Linked DNA regions of Neurospora crassa OR74A. Each later gene encodes a partner of the first gene's protein in a complex. Links are inferred from orthologs where the notes say so. Each region holds a gene or a part of one and is shown on either strand. Other genes may lie near its edges. The genes, in order: NCU01772 and NCU11012.

Region 1 (3,920 bases):
GGTAGTTGGTTGATGCGTCACGGTAATCGTCTGACCCACGATCGCCAGCGATTCCAGTAGAGATCTGGTCCAACGGGGTCTCCTTCTTGATCATCGTTTGTCCGGATTCAACCTTTGAGCCCACCTGGGCCAGGCCATCGGCGTCGAGGATGGCGTGCTTAACAATGGGCTTGTCGTCTTCGTCCTTCATGATACCGCCAACCCTGTCGCGGCGCCCATTCGTATAGCCTTGCAATTCGGCGGTATACTTGCGGAACACTTGGCAGCGGCCGAATCCACGATCTAGAGAAGCCTTGTTCAGAACAAGCGCATCTTCGATATCGTAGCCAGAGTAAGACATGACAACGACGGTGGCGTTCTGTCCTGCCGGGAGCTTGTCGTAGTGGATAAGTTGAATCGTCTTCGTAATGACCATTGGTCGTTGGGGATAAACAAGGGTATAAAGAAGGGTATCGATTCTGTTGAACTGATTGTAGGCAATAGCACCAATGGCTTGTTTACCCATGGCGCACTGGTAAGTATTACGGGGAGACTGGTTGTGATGGGGAAAGGGAATTAGACCAGCGACTGCTCCGAGAATCGTGAACGGCTCAATTTCCATGTGCGTAGTGCTGTTGGTGATCTGATCCTCCTGAAGCGCCACAAGGGTATCGTTCTCTTCGTTGACATCGAGATACTCAACCACGCCGCTGGTCAGGAAAGTGTCGAATGTCGCTTGCCCGAGTTGAAGCATCTTCAGGTGCTCTGCCTTCAACATGGATTTGCCGTTCTTGACGATGATGTACGGGCGGCAAATACGTCCTTCATCGGTAGCGATATGAACCGCCGAGAAGTGCTCGTTGATGTGGATGCTCACAAAAGGAGAGACCCAGCCCCGGCGACGCAAAGTTCTGAACCTGGCGGCAAACCGCTTTGGCTCCCTGGTCACAGCAAATGGTGTACCGTTCAAATGGATGATATACGAGCCTTTGCTGTGCATCTCTGTTCCGGTGTATTCTCGGATCGGTCCCACGCTCTCATCAGCAGCAAAAATCATCTTCTTAACTGGTTCCTCCGGCACATTCGTGGTAATGTGTGTCATGAGTGCCAAATTCTTTACCAGACCACAGGCTTCACCTTCAGGTGTATCAGAGGTGCAGAGCATACCCCACTGTGAGGGCTGTAGGGCTCTTGGACCGGAAACCTTTCTTGTTTTTTCGAACTGTGAGCTGATACGCGTCATCATACCCAGCGCAGCGATATAACTGAGTCGGCTGAGCACGTGGGTGATACCGGCTCTGTTCATGTTGAAACGCTTGACCGTCCAGTTGCCGCTCTGAATGGCGCGGTTAAGACCGTGAGAGATATAATGGCCGTTAGCCATGATCGCACCATGGGGATCATACGTAGAGGTACGGTTGGGTTTCTTGAAAAAGTTGTCAATGTTGTACTTGACGTCTGAAATGAACTTTTTGAACAAGTCTTCAAATAGAAGGGAGATCAACTGTCCAGCCAATTCCAATCTCTTGTTGCCGACGAAATCTCTGTCATCGACGAGCTTGGGATTCTGAGCTGCCATCAGCACGCGGCGAACCATCATGGCAATGTAGACGGCCTTGGGATAGAAGTCGAGACCCTCAACAGTAACGTGCGCGATAACTAAGTTCGCAAGTGCGTCGAGACCTTCTTCAGCATGGTTTCTTCGAGGAGCGGCACCGAATTTGGGTCTGTTACCGCCCATCTTGACTCTAGCACCAACGTATTCCAACGCTTGTTGTTGTGTGTAGACACCAGCTCTTCCGGCTTCATCGAAGTTGATGAGGAAATCGTCCTGGTAGCGCGCATCGCCACCGCAAACCAGCTCGATGATGTCGTTGTCGGAAAGACCACCGAAGGCCTTGAGAACGATGACGATGGGAATGGGCTCGGAGAGGGTGTTGTGCTGCAGGACAATCCGGTCCTTCTTGAGTACGACGTAAGTCTTTGACTTTCTCTCGTGTGTGGAACTGGTAACCGAGGCCATGACTCCGCCGGTCTTCTCGTCGGCCTCGACAATGATACGGTTCTTGCTAAGCTGTTCCTGAATCAAGATGACCTTTTCGGTTCCGCCAATAACGAAGTAGCCACCAGGATCGAGAGGGCACTCGTTGAAGACCTCCATCTGGGCATTGGTGGCGCCGTTGAGGTAGCACTTTGCGCTCTTGAGCATGACGGGAATGCGGCATAGCGGGATGTTCTTGCGGACGATAACGTTCTTGTCGCGGGTGTAGGCGATGTCGACCTCGACGGGGGCGGCATAGGTGAGGTCGCGGAGACGGCACTCCATGGGGGTGACGGGGTTTCGAGACTGGACTTGTTCGCCATCTTCGGTGCGGGTGGGCATGCCGACGCGGATGTCTCTGAACTCGAGCCAAAAGTTGGGGTCCTGGTCGCTGCGGACGACGCGGTTGGCCCTAACGATGTCCTTGATTTCCTCGTTGACGAAGTAGTTGTACGAGTCGATGTGTTGCTTGACGAGGCCCTTGACCTTGAGGAAGGCCGGGACAAGATGGAACTTGTCCTGCGTGGTCGAGATGGGATCGGTCAGCTTCTTGCCATTGTAGAACGGCTCCAGCAGGGCCTCAAAGCCATCGTCGAGAGCCGCCATCCTTGCATGTGCTAACTGCGGGTGACGGTTCGTCGTATCGATCGGGCCGGAGGAATGGAGGATGGCGATGATGGGCGCGGAACGACCGGGAATGTGTGTTTGGTTGAGAAGATACGCCTTGCAGTTGTGTAGGTAGATTTCGATGTGATTTTTGGCCCCGCGGCAAATTGATAAGGATTAGTTGCGATAAACTTTTTCTACGGGCTGGCCGCTGCCATTTCTTGTTAGGTCAGTAGAGGTAAGCCGCGGCTGGGGCGGTGGGGGACGACGGGGCGGGAGTGGTCTGTGCTTGACTGTTAGTGTGTGTAGTGCACTACACTAGAGGTAGTGTTGTGGTGCGGTGACCGGTGACTGCTAGTGACTGCAGTGGTACCTAACTGGTATGCCGAGGCCAAAATTGTTAGCGCCCACGTTTTGGACCCCTGATTGACAGTTACATATACCTATGTAGGTTCCTTGTTCCACTTTTGGCCGTGCCCTCCACCTGTCGGGTACCTTTGAAACCTTTCCTTTTGCTTTGACTCCGGACCGTCACTTTGATGTTCGTGATAAGGAACCCCCGCCTCTGTGCAACTCCGACACATCTGCCTCCTGGTGGTAGGTTGTATTTACCTATCCAACTTCAACTAGCACAGCGATTTGAACAATTTGTAGCGGGGTCAGGCCAGCTAGGTAACCTCAAGATAGCTATGTATCCGTTCTGCTGAATCTAGCCGCGCCAAGCGGAAGCCGGGCCTTCGATCGACACACCAGTCAACAGGGGAGAGCTTCTGGTTATGAAATCACCTGCCGGGTCGTTCACTATTTCTCTCCTACCTGTTATCATGTTGATGGTCTTCTTCGGTCTTTGTTCGTTGATATGGCAGCCTTTGAATTGCTAATCGCATACAACGGAGGTTGATGTTATTCCCAAGTGCTGTGACCTGCTCAGGCTTCAAGAATCAGAGAAGGGTTATGCTTCTGGCTGACTATACAAACGTCAAAGAGTCGCATCACCGTTGGCCGTGTCTTACAGCATAGTGTAGGTAGGTACCCATCTTTTCCTAGGCCAGCTCCAGCAGGGTGCTACCTTGCTTGAATCGACCTGGAACCCAACCCAGCAGTGGGGCAAGATCCGAAAGAGGAGCAATTGAAAAAAAAAGGCGAGGAGATTTCACATCAAGGTTAAACACGGGGGCGCTGCACTTGTGCGTTCGCTTTCTCTACCATGGTCTCAATGAGCATTCAAGACATTCCATATCTCAGCGTCTACCATAGCTATCACCTGGCTATCGTACATTTGAGTGCTCAGAAT
Region 2 (3,750 bases), on another chromosome or scaffold:
AACGATGGCCTTCATGGGCAGACTTGATGTGCGTGTTGAGATTGGAGACACGCGTGAACTTTTTGTCACAGCCCTCCCACGTGCAAGCAATCGTCTTTCGATCTTCGACTGTCTTGGCTGAGTGGTAGAGCTCAACGTGACGCATCATGTTGCTTTGTGTACCGCATCTGACACCGCAGAAGGCGCAGTTGTTGTGCTCCTTCTTCATATGGGCTTGAAGCAGCAGCATCGTGGTAAATCCAACACGGCGACCTCCACTGTCATCACCCTCTCCTTCAGCGTTGCATTCGTCGCACCAAAACTTCAGGTCACCGTGCTCGCGCTCTACGTGCCTTCGCAAGGCACTTGCAGTGTCGAAGCCGGCGTCACACCCGTCGTTACCGCATGGATATGCCGACTTGCCTAGATGAACGGTTCGGATGTGTCTCTGGAGCGTTTGGTGCTTGCGGAAGCTCTGGACACAGTCCCCATAGCCGCGGCAGCGGTAGCGATCGGCGCCCTCGTGAACCAGAGCATGGCGGCGAAGTCGTGTATTAGTGACAAAGGACTTTCCGCAACCGGGCTCGGGGCATGTGTACTTTCGATCGTTGGTATGAGATCCCTTGATGTGCTGGGAGAGGTGCTTCTCTTCGAGGTAGTCTTTGTCGCAGTCATCGTAGGGGCACTTGAACGGGCGATCGTTTGTGTGAGATCGGAGGTGGGCAGCCAGACGAGCAGGGCGGTTGAAGGTCTTGGTGCAACCGGCGAATGTGCACCTGATGGTCTTGAGATCGGAGGGGAAGCGGCGTGAAGCACGAGTCGTGGTAGTGTTGATACTAGTTGCTGCTACCGTAGTCGTCGGATCGGCGTGGGTAAGGGAGGTGTTGGCAACCGAGGCAACAGAGGCCGAGTCAGGGTCGAGTTCGAGGCTGTCGTTGCCGTTGCCATCAGAAGCTGCCGCCTCTGCGCCAGCAGGTGGCGATCGCGATTGCGAGGGTAGGGCCGGTGCCTCGAGCTGCTCTACTTGTGAGAGTTCCTCCTCCTGCTGCTGCTGGACCCAATCAGTAGCTCTTTTCTTGGATTGGACTTGAGCATGGTCGGGGCCGTCATGGCCATCAAGGCGCTCGTCGTCCTGTTTCCGCTTCATTTTGAGGCCTGGAGTAGCAGCACTGGTCGCCGTGGCCTGCTACCCTGGACTTGGTTGGAGCTTCGACATTGGAGAGAGGGAGCTCCACGCTTTTTGGGAAATTCGCTTGGATGGATTTTTTTTTTGGAGGTTCACATTTGTGACGGAACCTTTGCATTGCACCTGCCGATTGGACTTTTCGTCCGGGGTGGGTGTCCCTGCCGCTTCAAAAAGTTTATCTGACGTTTTCCGGTTCCAGCACCGGCAGGCAATTTTACGAGCGAGTGAAATTCGGGGGACCTGGAGGAAGGGAACCCATGAAGAAGCTGATGGCCCATCCATTGGCCCCACCCCTGTGACCCACTTCTCTGGTGTCACGTGCATTGGGCATTCTTAGCCTATTTAAGTTAGCTAGGTGGGGGCTTCTCAGATCCCTCCCCTCTTCTACTCTTTAGACTACTTTGGACGAATGAGACATCATCACTTCTTACCCCCCATGTCTCTTTAAGGTTTTATGTCTTGGCACGGCTCAGCCTTGCATAAAGTAGCGGCCCCACTCGAATTTTCTGTCGTCCTTTTGTCAGCCCTTCGCCCTTCCCTCACCACCTTGCGCATCCACGGTCGGCCAAACACGTCCAGTCTTCCACATCCACGCGTTTTGGGCAATACCATTTTGTCCACATACCTACCTCTACTTGTGCAGCTGCAGCCCATATCTTATTATCCTTACCATCAATCAACTCCTAAACAAACCCACCAAAAATGTCCGACTACGGTGACCACGGTGACGATGATCGCGAGCCTATGTAGGTTTCCAACGCCACCTACCCACCTAGTCCTTGGCATCAACCTCTACACATGATACCGCAACTCATGCGTAACGCAAGAGATGCTAACACGTAGCCGCCAGCGACGAGCCCGCCTTCGATGAGGACCCGGATGAGTACTACGAGCCCGAACCCGAGCCCGCGGACGACGACGTAGCGGGCAGACCCGGCGACGAAGTCGACGAGGCCGAAAACGATAACAACATAGTCACTTCGGGTGACCCTAACGCGGCCGCCAACGCTGGCAAGGGCAACGAGAAATCCCACAAGGACAAGAAGATTCCCAACGACCAGCGTTCCACGACACCTTACATGACCAAGTACGAGAAAGCTCGTATCCTCGGCACACGTGCTCTGCAAATCAGGTGGGTTTCCTCATCGGTGGCGCTTGGACGACTGTAGGGACGGATTTGGGCTGACAAGGAACCACCTTTGTAGCATGAACGCGCCAGTGCTGGTTGATCTCGAGGGTGAGACGGATCCTCTTCAAATCGCCATCAAGGAGCTGCGCGAGAAGAAGATTCCTCTGATTGTCCGTCGTTACATGCCTGATGGATAGTAAGTTGTCCTTTTCCCGGCACCTAGCCGAATACCCGCTAACATCCCTACGTAGCTACGAGGACTGGACCTGCGAGGAGCTCCTGCAGTAAACGGAAACCTACAAGACCCGTCAGGGGTAATAGGGGCGACCCAGTCTTTGGTCAGAAAATACACAAAATTGCATTAGCGAGGGCGTTCAGGTTGAAGTTTTATACATCATATTTGATCATTTTGGGACGGTTGGACTCGATCCAAAGGGCAACAACAAGAGCACAATGTGCTCCTCGAGTTGAATAAAGGGCCCATTCAAAAATTCACGTGCGTCTGATCAGTCATTGTCCTGTACGTTCGTGCTATTGTTCAACAGGCCTGGGCATATGAGGTATCAAGAGCCTTGTTTACGCCGCACTTTTCATGCTGATATCTGCTTAGATTTCCTGTCGCTATTTGATAGCGAATATTCAGATCAATTAGTATGTCAATTATACAGAAAAGGAATAGAGTATAACACTCATACAAAATTACCTACTTGAGAATCGAAGAACAGCGTTCGTGTCAAGCTTACCGCCATCCCTATCACCACGCATGTCCAGCAACATCCTTATGAACACCAGTTCTCCCAAGCTTCCCTTCCTTTCCTTCTGCGTCCCAGCACCACACACGGCTCAGCAGTCAGCACCTCACCAAGGCCCCGTCCCCCAAACCTTACACTTCGCTCCCGCATTCTTCCCCCAATTCGCCAACGTACAATCCGCATACTGCTCCTTACACTTCAGCACCGCCCCCGCGTACGAGGTCGAATCATCCTTGCCGTACTTTCCTTCCTTGCACCCCTTGGCGTACACATCCACACAATCATCGTACTGCTCCTGGCACGCATCCAGACAGGCTGTCGAGAACGACGAGCGAGCGTATGACTTGCACTTGCTCGAGTCCGAGTCCGTGTACAGCTTGAAGGGGTGACCGGACGAGAAAGAGGAGAGAAGGTCGTTGCAGGTTACTACGGGGAGAGGGATCCCGCCTACGGGGGGTTTGTTGCTTTTGGGGGGGTTGCAGAGGGAGGTGGATGTTGGGATTGGGCATTTGGTGCCGGTGGTGGTGGTGCTGGTTGTGAATGTGGCCGCTTTGGTGGACGTTGGAACGGAAGTAGATGTCGGCTTGCCAGTGCTAACAGGGAGACAAGGAACCGTAATCACCGTCGTTGTCGGAACACCAGGTCCGGTAAGGGAGGGCGACGAAGGCGGCTTGTGATTCCAGAAATCCTTCTTGGAGCAGATG

Evidence for each region.
Region 2: NCU01772 (region 1) and NCU11012 share a complex: the UniProt entries of both Saccharomyces cerevisiae proteins name them as parts of the RNA polymerase III (Pol III) complex. The link is inferred for Neurospora crassa OR74A from reciprocal best matches to the Saccharomyces cerevisiae genes RET1 and RPO26.

Annotation. Positions count from the first base shown.
Region 1 is NC_026502.1:2,490,167-2,494,086, reverse strand, and holds the start of NCU01772 (DNA-directed RNA polymerase III polypeptide), read right to left. Parts: upstream 2,813-3,920; 5' UTR 2,627-2,812; coding exon 1-2,626. UniProt on the Saccharomyces cerevisiae protein: DNA-dependent RNA polymerase catalyzes the transcription of DNA into RNA using the four ribonucleoside triphosphates as substrates. Second largest core component of RNA polymerase III which synthesizes small RNAs, such as 5S rRNA and tRNAs.
Region 2 is NC_026503.1:2,365,606-2,369,355, forward strand, and holds NCU11012 (DNA-directed RNA polymerase I), read left to right. Parts: upstream 1-1,564; 5' UTR 1,565-1,867; coding exon 1,868-1,911; intron 1,912-2,015; coding exon 2,016-2,297; intron 2,298-2,370; coding exon 2,371-2,490; intron 2,491-2,545; coding exon 2,546-2,582; 3' UTR 2,583-3,113; downstream 3,114-3,750. Other genes in the region: NCU00038 (C2H2 transcription factor), read right to left, coding at 1-1,126; NCU00039 (hypothetical protein), read right to left, coding at 3,153-3,750. UniProt on the Saccharomyces cerevisiae protein: DNA-dependent RNA polymerases catalyze the transcription of DNA into RNA using the four ribonucleoside triphosphates as substrates.